2 linked regions of the Pelodiscus sinensis genome follow. The protein of the gene in region 1 binds, or shares a complex with, the protein of each later gene. Links are inferred from orthologs where the notes say so. Each region holds a gene or a part of one and is shown on either strand. Other genes may lie near its edges.

Evidence for each region. The genes of interacting proteins can lie anywhere in the genome.
Region 2: the proteins of TNNT2 (region 1) and TNNC1 are in contact, whole or in part, in a crystal structure (PDB 1J1D), measured with the Homo sapiens proteins. The link is inferred for Pelodiscus sinensis from reciprocal best matches to the Homo sapiens genes TNNT2 and TNNC1. Residues at the interface, in NP_001263274.1 of Homo sapiens: Gln266, Tyr269, Asn272, Val273, Asn276, Arg277, Asp280; in NP_003271.1 of Homo sapiens: Asp99, Phe101, Arg102, Asp105, Ala108, Asp109, Gly110, Tyr111, Arg147, Tyr150, Asp151.

Annotation. Positions count from the first base shown.
Region 1 is NC_134737.1:13,382,046-13,389,227, forward strand, and holds the start of TNNT2 (troponin T, cardiac muscle), read right to left. Parts: upstream 3,014-7,182; 5' UTR 3,008-3,013; coding exon 2,970-3,007; intron 836-2,969; coding exon 825-835; intron 700-824; coding exon 682-699; intron 1-681. UniProt on the Homo sapiens protein: Troponin T is the tropomyosin-binding subunit of troponin, the thin filament regulatory complex which confers calcium-sensitivity to striated muscle actomyosin ATPase activity.
Region 2 is NC_134721.1:41,398,124-41,405,898, reverse strand, and holds the start of TNNC1 (troponin C, slow skeletal and cardiac muscles), read right to left. Parts: upstream 3,005-7,775; 5' UTR 2,878-3,004; coding exon 2,854-2,877; intron 1-2,853. UniProt on the Homo sapiens protein: Troponin is the central regulatory protein of striated muscle contraction. Tn consists of three components: Tn-I which is the inhibitor of actomyosin ATPase, Tn-T which contains the binding site for tropomyosin and Tn-C.

The sequences.
Region 1 (7,182 bases):
GGCAGTGCAGGGGTAGCCCAGGCGTTAATGAAGCCAGAGACTAATAAGGCCTTTCCCCTATGACACCCGGTAGGCAGATATACATAGACACACGAACAGTCTCACGCACTCACACACACACACACACGGCTGCACAGCTGCGTAAGTCTTCAGCTTCCATTCAACACTCGGAGAAAGCAGCTGGCTCGTGCTGACCCGTCAGTCGCACACGTCAGCTGAGATTCCAGCTTCCACGTGGTTATTCCCAACAGCCCCACACTGCAAATGGTTACGATCCTGAATCCGCTCCGGGGCTCAGATCGGAGGCTTTAGTGGAGGCCTGTCTCCAATCATCCTCATCTCTTATAAAGTGAAGGGCAAATAAACCCTTCGGGTGAAATTCACCCCCGTGCAGAGGACTGGAATAAGGCCTAGGTGCCTCTCACATTGCCCATTAGCCCTGTGGCTTGCATCAGTCCCCTGGACCGGGGAGAGTTTCACCTTAACTGAACATCAGCTGAAGCAAAATTTGTTTACATATTGGAAGGAACATCCCCAGAACCGTTTTGTACAGTTCTACCAACCTGCAGCCATGCCAAACCATGCCAAGCAAAATAAAAAGAAGCAAAGTATTTACATAAGCCAGTAGTAACTACCCTTTGCCCTCCTTCCCCTTCCATACAACAGGGAACAAAAACCTACCTTCTTCCACACACTCCTCTGCAGGAAGGGGGAAGAGAAAGGGGAAGGAGGGGGAGAAAGAGAGCAGGTTATTGAAGTTGTATTGATCGTTTTATAGCTTCAGTCTGTCCTGATCTGCAGAAAGAGGGTTCTCGTTCTCTTACCTTCCTGTTCCCTGCAAAGAAGAATGAGAAACTATTAGATTTGTTTCTCCCAATGATTGCTCCCTGGGCAGGGGAGCACCGGACGGAATTTTTTGACATGAATTTTCCATGGAAAAATGCAGATTTGTCAAAACAAACCAGTCTCAAAACAGAATCAGTTTCAACAAGACTCACAACGTGGAAAAAAAAAGTTGGGAAAATGTTTTGTAACCATCCAAGTGCTTTGTTATGAACAATCACTACAGAAGTAGTTCTGGTTCAAAATTCATTTGAATTTCTACCAAATTTAAGCTAGTTAGCTGGGAGTGGAGAGAAGAGTCACACTGAAAAGAAGGCCAAAATCCAAACAAAATGGTTCAAAATCCAGACATCTTGATTGACAGGACTTTTTAGGGTTTTTGTTTTTTTAAACTCAGTGGCTGTGTCTAGACTGGCAAGTTTTTCTGCAAAAGCAGCTGCTTTTGAGGAAACACTTGCCAGCTGTCTACACTGGCCGCTTGAATTTCTGCAAGAACACTGGCTTCCTACTGTCTGAAATCAGTGCTTCTTGTGGAAATACTATGCTGCTCCCGTTTGGGCAAAAGTCCTTTTGCGCAAAGCTTTTGCTCAAAAGGGCCAGGGTAGACAGCTCAGATTTGTTTTGCGCAAAAAAGCCCTGATTGCGAAAATGGCGATCGGGGCTCTTTTGCGCAAAAGCGCGTCTAGATTGGCCACGGATGCTTTTGCGCAAAAGTGCTTTTGTGGAAAAGCGTCCGTGCCAATCTAGACGCTCTGTTCCGAAAATGCTTTTAACAGAAAACTTTTCCGTTAAAAGCATTTGCGGAAAATCATGCCAGTCTAGACGTAGCCAGTAATTTTATGGAAACTAAGCTTATGTTTCCATCCCAATTTAGAGCTGAGAAACATTTTGGACTAACAACATTTGCAGGATAAAAAAGCCTATTTCCAATGCAGCTTTCCTGGGGATGGTTCAGAGAGCCCCCCCATGGCTAATTTGTACTACTTAGTATTATGCATGTCTCTACAGGATGCACGTAGTTCCCCTCTACATGACGGCAGAGACGGGCCCAGGCTGGAAGGTTTCTGTTTGGATCCAAGTCCCCGCTTTCCAAGAGTCTGAGGTGCTCAGATCTGCCGGGCTTGGGTCACACCCACAAGAAGATGGGTAAAGAGAAACAAACACCTCATTGTGGGTTCCATTTATGGGAGGGAGGAAGATTTCACCATGGCCTGCAATTCTGAGATCTACAGCTCCAGGCAGAACTGGGTAATAATGAGAACGAATAAGCGCAATGGTTTTCAAATGACGGGTCGCAACCCAGGGCTGGGTGGCAGAATGTCCGGCATTGGGTCTCATGGCTGCAGGGGATCAGCTGAGCAGCGGGGGTGCTGAGGCAGCTCCCTGCCTGTCCTGGCACCGCAGACAGTGCTGCACCCCAGAAGCAGCCGGCAACAGGCCTGGCTCCTAGGTGGGGGGAGTGCACAGAGCTCCATGCTCTGCCCCTGCCCTGAGCACTAGCTCCGCATTTCCACTGGCTGGAAACCTGCTGCGGCTGCTTCTGGGGTGCAGCATAGTCTGAAGTGCCAGGAGAGGCAAAAAACTGCTTTAGGCCCCCTTCCCTCTCCCGCACCACACCACTGACTGGCAGTCGCTCAAGGTAAGCACCTCCTGCCCCAGCTCTGATCCCCCCCAAAGCCGGAGCCCCCTCCCACACCTCAAAGCTTGTCCTCAGCCCCACCCCGGAGCCCACACCCTAGTCATATTATGTAGGGTTGCGACATCAACAATTTTCTTCAACTGAGCCATGAGAAAAGAAATTCAAAAAAGAGCTAGATACATTCCTGGAGGATCAGTCCGGCAAAGGCTGTTGGCCGGGCTGAGCAGCGATGGCGTCCCTCGCCTCTGTTTGCCAGGGGCTGGCAATGGGCGACAAGGGGAGGGATCACTTGATGAATCCCTGTTCGGTTCCCTCTAGGGAATCTGGCATTGGCCACTGTCGACAGACAGGACACTGAGCGGGATGGACCCTTGGGCTGGCCGTGGTTATGTTCTTGTGTCAATTTGAAAACTACTGCTCTAGAGGACTTGCTGCACTTGCTGTCCCTCTGGCCGTGGGAGGGACTGTTTTAAAGCCCAGCACTTACTCTTCATATTCTTCGATGATTTCTTCCACGTCGGACATTTTCAGTGATCTGGCAGGGAGGAAAAAGGAGAGCGTTGAAAGCGACAGTGACCCCCACAGCAGCCCAGTCAGTCCTTCATCCTGAGCCCTGCGGGTACTGGATGTCCGTGGCCATGCGGGATGAGCTTCGGGCAGCCCTATGGTCCATAGTCAAACTGCTTTTCAGGGGGGCGGAGTGCTCCCTAGGAGCCGTACTCTCACATCGGACAATCAGGCCAAGATGGCATCCAGAAATCAAGGCACCCCCCAAAACAGTCAGTCGCCATGTCCGAAAATTCAGTTGATGTGCGAGGCCTTGGCAGGCCTGAGCGATACGCATTTGTACAGGGGCATTTCCATGTGGATTCCCTTAGGCTGTGCGTCACACTCCCGCCTCCGCCTGCGCTCCGAGCAGCGTGCGGGGGACGAAGAGGGAGCCGTCTCCTCCTCCAGTCCCGTCCCGGTGCTGGGCTGCGATGCTGAGGGGGGGCCTTAGAAAGGCGCAGTGGCAGGGAAGCGGCGGCCGGCCCCAGTGCAGGTCATGTACGGGTGGGAATAAACCCCTTATCTGCCCAGCGTTTTACTGAAACTCGTTTGTCATTTGGGATCTGTTTGCTTTTCCACTCGCCCCGAGAGACGGGGGCTACAGGCAGGGCCGACAGCCACATGGGCCCCAGGGCAAGACGTGTAGGGACCCCCACTCTGCGCCCCCACAGGCAGGCGTTCAGCCCTTACTGCTGCCCAGACCATGGCTGGCCCCCCACTCCTAGCTCCCAGCCGCGTGGAGCCGCGCTCCGGCAGCAATTCAAAGAGGCCTCCAGCTCCAGCTGCTGATGCAGATGCTTGTTCCATCGCCGGGCCCAGGGCAACTACCCCCTTGGCTCCCACCCGTGGGCAGGCCTGGCTGCAGCACAGCAATGCCACGTATTTTGCTTCCGCAATCCAAGGGCCCCAACTGCTAGGGACCTCTGGGTTCTCCCAGCCACCCCTTCCGAGCTGGGTGCCAGCAGCCGATTGGCTCAGAAGTCCCTTGAGTACCTAGGGAATCCTTCTGGGGCCAGTTTAGCTGGGCTTGGGGCAGCTTTGAACGCCACAGCAGGGTGAGGGCCAAGACAACCAAGGCCAAAACAAAATGGCCACCTGCATCCTGACAGGAAGCCCTAGAAAGAGACTTCGGAGCCACGGGCTGCGTTTAGGCGGGGGGGCTGCCACCCAGGGCTGAAACACTCGGTTACCCCATTAAAAACCAGCACTCCCTGTAAGCTTGTGCAGCTGTTCAGGAGAGATTCCAGTGCTGCCCAGCTGGCTAGCAGACGCCAACAGCTGGGTTTGGGTTTCTCCTGGTGGTGCACATTCGCACATGTCTGAGTGCATGTAACAAACTTTATTGTGCACGTGAATCGAAAAGAATTGGAGGGAACATTGGTCACAGGGGATGCTACTTCCGATGGAAACCCTTTCCTGGGCTCATTTTTTGGGGGTGACCAAACCTTATTCCACCAGCTGCGTTTGTGAATTCCGCGCAGCTGCAGCAGCAAGTGAGTGGGGTGGGTAAAACAGCTGGGTGGGAACAGCCCGTTCCCGAGGGGGTCTGTGCTTGTCACAGACAGGTAGGAGCATCTATAATTATCTTACAAAGAGAGGGGAAAGGAGCCACGTCAGCACGGAGCCTGAATGTGCCTGAGCTAATTCTGCCTCCCCCACCACTCAGCAACATAGTTCTCCTTAAATAGGAAGCATCCTCCGCCAGTACTGATAACTCCGAGCGCCCCGCCCAGCTCAGGGTACGTAGCAACCTCTCCGGGCAGAGATGATCTAAGACAGAGCTATGCTGCATGGGAAGTTCAGGGGAGGAGGATAAACCCAAGGAAACAGCCCATTTCACTCCCCAGTGCTCAGCACTGAGGCCTGGCTTCTAACACGTAGCCAGCATGTTTCCTTCTGCCTCATTGAATGTACACCCTGGGACCAGCTTCTCCTCGGAAAAGTCCCCCACTGTCCCCGGCCACTGAGGCAGTCAGAGACGCTAGCATGGTAACTCCTGCCTTGAACCACATGTGATGTAGTAGGCAAGCCATATACTAGGTCATACACTATGGTCATCCACTGGTGGCTGTGTTTGAGCTGGGGGTGACCCCTACTGGACGGTATCTGTAGCACTGCCCAGCAGGACAGCTGCCTAAGCCACATAGGCAAAGACCCCAAGCAGGGAAGGAGGCAGAGACCAACACCAGGTTTCAGGGGAATGGGCAGTTGCTGGCTGGGAAACACTGTGGCTGTGTCTAGACTGGCCAGTTTTTCCGGAAAATCAGCCGCTTTTCCAGAAAAACTTGCCAGCTGTCTACACTGGCCGCTTGAATTTCCGGAAAAGCACTGACTTCCTACTGTAAGAAATCAGTGCTTTTTGCGGAAATACTATGCTGCTCCCGTTCGGGCAAAAGTCCCTTTCGTGCAAAACTTTTGCGCAAAAGGGCCAGTGTAGACAGCTCAGATTTGTTTTCCGCAAAAAAGCCCCGATGATCGGGGCTTTATTGCGGAAAAGCGCGTCTAGATTGGCCACGGACGCTTTTGCAGAAAAGCGTCCTGCCAATCTAGACGCTCTTTTCTGCAAATGCTTTTAACAGAAAACTTTTCCATTAAAAGCATTTCCGGAAAATCATGCCAGTCTAGACGTAGCCAAAGGGAACAGCTTTAGCTGAGGGTCTAGGGCTGACAATGGACCCCCTAATCCAAGGGGTCTGAGGCATCCTGGCCCTAATTCCTGAAACACAGCACAGATGTGCTGTATCCCAGAGCAGCAATAAACCCTCTCTATTCTACTGGCTGATGGAGTCTATTCTTGCTGCTACGGGGTTGCAGGATCAGGGGGAACCCCGCCACATCATCACACCACGTTAGTTCCTCTGATGGGTTCCTTATGCTGAATCCTTCCCAATCCCTGCTCTGGGGCCCAGCGAGATTCACGAGGAATTCAAACATCCTGTGACCTTAAAACCACTTCAGCCAGGCAGAGAAAATGCTGGGAGACGGGCGTCTCTGTGGGCAGCGCTGTCTATGCACGGACAGCCCAGCAAGCAGGTATCCATGGGGGGTGGGAGTCCAGGCTGCTGGGTTCTGTTCCTGGCCCTGCGGCTCACCTGCTGTGTGACACGGGGCAAGGCTGGAGCCCAAAGGAAAACCTGCAGCAGCAACTCAGAACCAGGCTCAGTTAGCTCCATCTGCCTGGCTAAAAACAGCCAAGTGGACTTTTGTGCTCAGACCCTGGCTCCAAAACCGTCTTCCCCTCGTTGGGTTTCACAGCCTGAACTCCAGCTCTCAGTTGCCCCTGGCTCTGAATCTCACTGCTCTGGGTGTGACTTTGCAGTGTTGACCTACCCCAAGGCCACAATCCTCCAAGGCCTTTAGGCTCATAATTCCCTGGTGTGATGACTGGGAGAGGTAAGACCCTTTTCTGGAGATGCCAGCCATGCAGTCAAGTCTCTTCACGGGGTTTACTCTTAGGACCTACCTCTAATTGTCTTGCCTGTAAGGGCTGAAACCATAGACCGTGGGTCCTAGAGAGTCCCCAAGGAATGCCAAGGAAGCGAGTTGGCCAGAGGCCAGGAGAGCCAATGGAAACCGAGTAGGGACTTCTGAATTGGAAAGTGACCTTCCTGGTCCAGTCTTTGTATGACCAGAGCAGAGCCTGGGCAACATGAATTAAGCCAGGAATCCAAGCATGGAGTATTTATTCTAGAGACAGCCATACCCAAGGAAGGACTACATCTTGGAATAACAGATGTGGGTAGAAAAGGGAATGTTTAGTCAGATGCGATCACGTTATTTTCTTTAGCTGAGGGTTTCTTGGACTTTGCTGTGTGTCACTACCCCCTTATGTGCAACTTTCCAAACTGAATCCCGGGGAAACAATTCACTGTTTTAATTTTTAGATGCTCTAACACAGGGCTACTCAACACACACCCTAGGCATGGGATCCTTTTAACGTAGCCTCCACTGGGAACCCACTCTACCACCACACATCAATATAATGGTCTTCTGTTGATTAAATTCCTGGACTGTCATTGCTCATTTAAAGTGCTGCCATGTGAGTTTCCACCCATATTTACAGCAGGTAAATATTGCATTTTATGAATATCAGCAGAATGGACTTAAACAGGGCCTGCGTGTTGTGTAGTCTTGCCTGCCAGGCTGAAAGA
Region 2 (7,775 bases), on another chromosome or scaffold:
CCCATGATGGGAGGCAGGCAGCTGCAGACTGCTCTTTTATTGTTTTGGCAGTAAAATAGGATAGTTGGGGGCTGCGAAGGTCTGAGCTATACCCGGTAAATAAACACCTCTTGCCACTTTCGTGCCTTCCATGTAACTCAATTCTTTTGGCATGTCAGCTATTTATAAGCCTCAATGATTGAGGTGCTGGTGATAAAGATAAACCTTCTGATTGTTCCCAGGAACTGAATGGCATTGGTATTTATCCTTGGGCCCTTTTATCTGGACACTTGTCCTTGGCACTGTTCTTAGCCTGGTTCACTGGAGTCTGAAAGTGTTACCAAAATAGCTCTGCATTGATATAACCTTATCTAGACATGAGCAGGCAAGATGAAAAGCCATTGGGCTCTGTTGGTGCATTTCGAAAAATTGAAAGGAAGGAAGACAATGTTTTATTCCAATGTGCCGCCAACTTGCACAAACCACAAAGGGCCAATTCCTTTGCATCAAACTACATCTGTCTAACTTGTGCCTCCCTTCCTGTGCATAAATGTATAGGTATAAGAATGTACTGTACCAATGGGTCATCAATCATGGTAGCAAGATAAATTCATCGCGAGGCTCTGGTAATAACAACATAAGCCATGGGATGAAATTAAAATGGCGTACGATCATGCCCAAGACTCCGCTGTCTATTTGTGGCCTTTTTCTTTTATTTTCTACATCCTCTTGTTTTGGTGTTGACGTCTTTCATTACTGCCTCCGTGCGTAAATGCTGAAAATGCTGCCAGGATACATAAGCAGTGCCAGGGTTATTCCTCTTTTGGCTTTATTCTTTATTCACTGCTTCCATCTGAAATTGTGCTGGTGAGGATGAATCAGCTTGGCCGTGCTGTAGTTACTCTCTAGTGTTCTTCTGGTTTAATATTTGTTGCAGTACATATATTTAGGATTTTTTAATGGAATGGTCCAAGGAAATATCCTGTACCATATACTGCACTTTAGAAGGTGTCTGCCCCACATGTCTGCCCCATCCCAATTATTTTGCCTTGGTGAAATAATTACAGTGCAAATGCCGTTGTGTGAATGTACTCACAACAGGAATCCCTTGTCAGTTATATATGTTAGAGTTTTTTACTCAATCTCATCAACATATTCATCAGATCATATCGATCTGAGGAAGTGGGTCTGGCCCACGAAAGCTCATCACCTAATAAACCATCTTGTTAGTCTTTAAAGTGCTACATAGTCCTGTATTTTGTTTCATCAACATAGTATCTGAATGTGCCCCAGGGGGGAAACAATGGCACAGCAAAATCTCTACTGGACTTCCTGGAGTCTTCTAACTTGGAGTAAGAAGTTTGTTGGTTATTAGGAATGGAATTTTTTGTATTTGTGATTCTTTTTTGAGCTAAACTCATCCCTAGTCTAAAGTCATTGAAATCCATGGTGTTAGATTAGGGATTAATTAGGTCTGCTGCATCTTAGGCCTTCATGGAGTTCAGCAGGTTGAGAGGTACGAAACAGGCGGAAAATTGTCCATGGGAAACCTTCCTCTAACTATCTAATTCTTGACTCTAATTCTTTCTTTGTGCTAGAGAATGCATTCCAGCTGCCTGCCTGACAGATCCATTTGGCTAATTGTTAGCATTGCTGGCATTCAAAATGCTTTAAACTTGCTTCATAACAATGTGGGTGATGCCTCTAAACATTTTGGAACATAAGTTTAATTAAACATCCAATTGCAGAGAAACAAAAGTTGTTTCCTTCTAGAGATCACTTTTTTGGTGTCATTGTTTTTGAAGACTTGGGCTTTTGGCTCACTGCACCTAAGAGAACTGCAGAATGGAATCCCAGCTCAATGCAGGTTTTAAATACTGAGGTTAGTCTAATATGAAAGACAGCTGGTTTTGTTGCCATGTGTCAACTATCCCTCTTCCTTTAGGACATCTTGAAATGTTGAAAGCAATATCCACATCTGATGTATCTTTGTGCTTTTGTTAACTATCTACAACACCATATATAACCCCGTAACCACCAACATAAGGTACAGAACATGGTAACCAAAAATTCAATGTAAAGGGATTCATGCAATACAGATTCCAGAAAAATGTCACTCTTATGTTCTTCTGCTGGTTCAAGGTACAAGCTAATGCTGCACCTTCATTGGGAGGAAGACAAAATGGTTTGGGCTTATACAGGACACTTGATATGCAATAATTCAAGGCAAAACTGCTTTAGAAAGCACAACCAGCATGAGTCACATTATAATTTTTTGCCGTGTAGATATTAAGAACAAGGAAACAGAAATTGCAAATCAGATCACTTGCTTCCTAAGTCTTTATCAAATACATTTTGCAGAAAAACATTCACCTGGGGAAAAAACTTGGAAATGGCAGAATTGTAATACGTGAACATAAAAATGCTGCGGTTTCAGCTTCTGCAAATTCTCTTCCCCATTGAAACCATTGCTCTGTCAAGTTCTGGATAAAGCAGTAGCCATACCCAATACGTCAGTAGATTTTTCAAAATATACTAAAAAGTACACTTACACGCCATCTCTCAAAGTACAGAATCAGGGAAAGCCTGGATACGAATAATTGAGCTGTTTATTTTTAGAAGAATCTGCTTACAAGAAGAACAGTCGTATTTAGAATTGCCATTGCATGAAAAGTTCTATCTATGTTCTGAACTAGAAGGTGCGTTACTTCAGCTACCATTCCTAAGTGCATTTCATTGTTCCATTAAGGGCTCATAGATCTTCATTGCCGTGCCTTAGGGCAGCTTTCGGAGAGCAGCAAAAACGCTATGAAACGTCTTTCTAATACAACAAAGGTACCCACAGATCAAGGTAAGCTTAAGGAGATTACTTACTGCTGCCTTGTAAATATCATCCATGGTTAGCTAATTGCTGATCAGGAGCTGGGCAGAGAAGGCAAACAGTACAGAGACAAACTTCAAGTCTCTGTTAGCTGTCCCCTCCTTCTATCCCTGCTAATATAGCAAGGTGTCAGCCCCTAAATGTGTCACTCAGGGGCTGCTGCTCACCACATCAGAAACCTATTGTATGTCTATCAAAGATGCCCACTCCAAGTGGGAATTCCTCACCCCTGGGGGGAGGGGAAGGACGGGACACTATGCAAGGCCCGCAGCTGGCATTCCAAGGGCCCAATCCAGCTCTCGGAGTAAGTGGGATTAAAGCAGCCAAGTAAACACTGGCAAGTATTCGCGTCAGACTGCAGGTCTGATCCTCTGGAATTGGCTGGCAAACCTCCCTGTGAAGCCAGTGAGAACAGCTGGGTATCCTGGAACTAAATACAGTATTGGGAATGTTTGGGTAGCTAGGCCCTTTCTTTATAAGATGCTAGACCAGCGATGGGCACAGGCCCATATGCAGGGATTTCCGGGGGAGGGTAAGCTGCGGGAGGGGCTGGTGGCTGTCACCCTCCGCCCCTCCCCGTGGGCCAGCCCCAACCCCTATGGCCCAGCCCTGCCCCCATCCTCACTCCTGTGTGAGAAAGGGGGGAATCAGCCCCAGCATTCCCCAGCTGGCTGGAGCATGGGGGAAGGAGGCTGAGGCAAAGTGCCGCCCCTGCCTTCCGTAGGTCGGCTGGAATCGGCCTGTGGCGGACCATAAAGGACTGTGTGGAGGGGTGTTCGCACCCTTCTTACACACCCCGCCCCCCGCATATGGGCCTGGGGAAAATACTGACCCGTAAGCCAGATCCAGTTTGCCAGAGATACCCCTGGCAGGCTGCCACCACTATATTTACCTGCGCTGCTGAAGGTACGGGTGATCACAGCTCCTGTTGGCTGCAGATCCACGTTCCCGGCCAATGGAAACTGCGGGAAGTCATGTCCAACGAGAGCTGCAATTGCGGGTACCTGTGGAGGTGCAGGTAAATACAGCGCAGTGGCCCTCCTGGAGCTAACCTGGCAAACCACCACCTTCTATTGCCCATCACTGGTCTAGACCCAAACCCCGGATCCAAATCCACCCAATTCTGGAATAGTTTGGATCAGAATCACTGCACAGGTATCAGAGACATAATACAATGGGACTATGAACTCTGCCACTAACTCCCTGGGTGACCTTGGGTAAGTCACTTAACCTCTTAGTGCCTCAGTTTCTTTGCTGAATGAGGATATTTAATGCCTTGCCACCTTTGTAAACTACTTTGAGATGTCAAAGAAAAGGCTGTTAAGGACCATTATGATTTTATTGTATTGTAAATTCTAAGTTACCCTGTTGATGCTCGTGACTACACTCCTGTCATCTGTGCCCACAAAAGCTCATGATACCATCTACATATTTTGTTAGTCTTTAAAGTGTGACCAGAACGCTAGTGTGATGGATTTCCCCTGAATTTAACCCAGTACAGCTGAGAGCAGACTCTGACTCAGCAGGAATAAGCTTATTATTATTAATTGCACTATTTGTATAAATAAATACATGAAAAATGTTTGGCACATTGGCGAGGATCTTAATCTACAAATGAATCTGTGGGGAGGACGTTTTTCTTCAGGAATCCAGAGCTCCCTCTTGTGTCCAAATGAAATGCAGACAGCAAGAAAAAGTAGCAAAAAAGTCAGCAAAATGGGATGCCAGTGTATTTTTTGGACTGTTTTACAAGTTAGCCTATATATCAAAAGCAATGGCTGTCTCTCCTGTGTTGAGGAAAGGGATGTTCTGTAGGGGAGCAGATAGCTCCAAGGACCAGTAACATGGTGTAAAGCTCATGTTCCAATAGTCATTAATGGTCTGATTTCCAGAGATGCACATTAATTGCCAGTTTGGAGCTCTCTGCACCTCTTGAAAATGAAGCTGAAGATGATACAGAAGGTGTGAAATGAGTCAGCTGATCTTTTTCCAGTTCCCTTTGGACAGGTGTCCATCCTGGGTCTGGTCAAAAAGTGGGAAAATGATTTTGTGAACTGTTTTCAAATTTTTTGTTTTCTGTTTTGGTGAACCAGTTTTCTGCTTTTTTTTCCCTCAAAAATAATGTGATATTTACTGCAAATGAGTATTTTTCATTTACTGATAACCTGGTTTTCAGCAAGACAAGATAGTTTCCAGTAACTGAAAACATTTCATACCAAAAAAATTACCAAAAATACCACTGAAAATTTAACCAATAAAGGAACTTTTGGTGAATGCTAACAATAGTTTGCAAAAAAATAACCTTTGGGGGGGGGGTAAATTTAGTGCAAAGCATTTTGTACATTTGTAATGCATTCTATAATTAGCATTAATTGGCATTAGGGATATAAAATCCTGTTTAATCAGTGAAACCTGTGGGACGCCTCATAGCATTTGTAGTACCTAATCCAAAGCCCTGGGAAGGTTTTGGCCTTTGATCAAGCCCTCAGAGAAGTGAAACAGCAATTTAATTAGGAGGCACAATGCTTAGCAAGCTGTAACTCATCTGAGTCGATGTGGTTTTGAGAAGACAGAAAGGAAGTTCTGCTCACCCACCCTTGCTATAATCAACACTATGCCTGTCCTCTTGAGAACAAAATCCCTGTTCACTTGTTACTAGTATTTGTCTCATAAGAACGGCCATACTGGGTCCGACTGAAGGGCCATCTTGCCTCGAATCCTGTCTTCTGACAATGGCCAATGCTGGATGCCCCCAAAGGAATGAACAGAACGGGGAATCATCAAGTGATCTATCCCGTCACCCATTCCCAGCTTCTGATAAATAGAGGCTAGGGACTCCATTGCTACCCATCCTGGCTAAAAACCCATGGATGGAGCTAACCTCCATGGATTTATCTAGTTCTCTTTTGAACTCTGTTAAGTCTTGGTCTTTACAACATCCTCTGGCAAGGAGTTCCACAAGTTGACTGTGTTCTATGAGGAAATACTTCATGTTGTTGTTTTAAACCAGCTGCCTAATAATTTCATCTGATGACCCCTAGTTCTTGTGTTATGGGAACAAGTAAATCACTTTTCCTTATTTACTTTCTGCATGCCAATCATGGTTTTATGGATCTCTATCATATCCCCCCTTAGTCTATTCTGAAAAGTCCTACTCTTGTTAATCTATCCTCATAAAATATGTGTTCCAAACCCATTAATTATTTTTGTTGCCCTTTTCTGAACTTTTCCTAATGCCCAGGTACCGTTTTTGAGTTGAGGCAACCACTTCTGCACTTAGAATTCAAGATGTGGCCATACCATTGATTTATATAAAGGCAATAAGATATTCTCTGTCTTATTCTCTATCCCTTTTTTAATGATTCCGGACATTCTGTATACTTTTTTTTTTTGGACTGCTACTGCACATTGAGTGGATATTTCCAGAGAGCTATCCAAGATCTCTTTCTTGAATGGCAATAGCTAATTTAGTCCCCATCATTTTGTACACATAGTGGGGATTATTTTTTCCAACGTGCATTACTTTGCATTTATCAACATTAAAATTCATTTGCCATTCTGTTCCCCAGTCATCTAGTTTTCTCAGATCCTTTTGAAGCTCTTCACAGTCTGCTTTGGACTTACTATCTTGCAGACTTTTGTTTCATCTGCAAATTTTGCCATGTCACTATTTACCCTTTTCTCCAGGTCGTTTATGAATGTGTTGAATAGGATTGGTCACAGGATGGACCCCTACTTACCGCTCTACATTCTGAAAACTGACCTTTTATTCCTACCCTTTGTTTCCTATCTTTTAACCAGTTCTCAATCCATGAGAGGACCTTCCCTCTTATCCCAGGACAGCTTACTTTACTTAAGAGCCTTTGGTGAGGGACCTTGTCAAAAGCTTTCTGGAAATCAAAGCACACTATTTCCATTGTCCACATGCTTGTTGACCCCTCAAATAATTCTAGTACATTAGTGAGGTATGATTTCCCACCATGTTGACTTTTCCCCGACAAATTATGTTCATCCACGTGTCTGACAATTCTCAACAGAAGAAAAGTGTAGTCACTGTTTATGTGGAATTATACAGAGATAAAAATAGTATGTTCCTCTTAAAATATCTGGGCTGATTAAACTTGCTGAAGGGAAAGGCTTGTAAAATGGACTGAAATAATAATAGAGGCCAAAATCTATTAGCCAGAAGGACAAGTAACTTCCCTGTCCTGGCGCAAGGACCAGGGGCATGACCTGGTTAGAAGCCTGGTACTAAGTTCCCACCTTGACAGACCACAAGGGGTCAGTGGAAGTCCCACATATGCTGAGGCCCTGCCATGTGCCACACTCTTTCATATGGTCTTAAGCAAGTGGATATGATAAATATTGAACTCTCTCCCCTCCCTGCCTCTTGACAGCTGTGATGGGGAAGCTGCCTTTTGGCTGCTTCAGGCAGAGAAGTTCTCTTTCCTCCTCCATCTTCTGGGCAGCTGGAGGGAGACTCTTTCTCCCCTCACTGTCCCTGCCTCGAGGGCTGCGTCTAGATTGGCATGATTTTCCGGAAATGCTTTGAACGGAAAAGGTTTCCGTTAAAAGCAATTTCGGAACAAAGCGTCTAGATTGGCACGGACGCTTTTCCGCAAAAGCACTTTTTGCAGAAAAGCGTCCGTGCCAATCTAGACGCGCTTTTCCGCAAAAAAGCCCCGATGGCCATTTTTGCAATTGGGGCTTTTTTGCGGAAAACAAATCTGAGCTGTCTACACTGGCCCTTTTGCGCAAAACCTTTGCGCAAAAGGGACTTTTGCCCGAACGGGAGCAGCATAGTATTTCCGCAAGAAGCACTGATTTCTTACAGTAGGAAGTCAGTGCTTTTGTGGAAATTCAAGCGGCCAGTGTAGACAGCTGGCAAGTTTTTCCAGAAAATCAGCCACTTTTC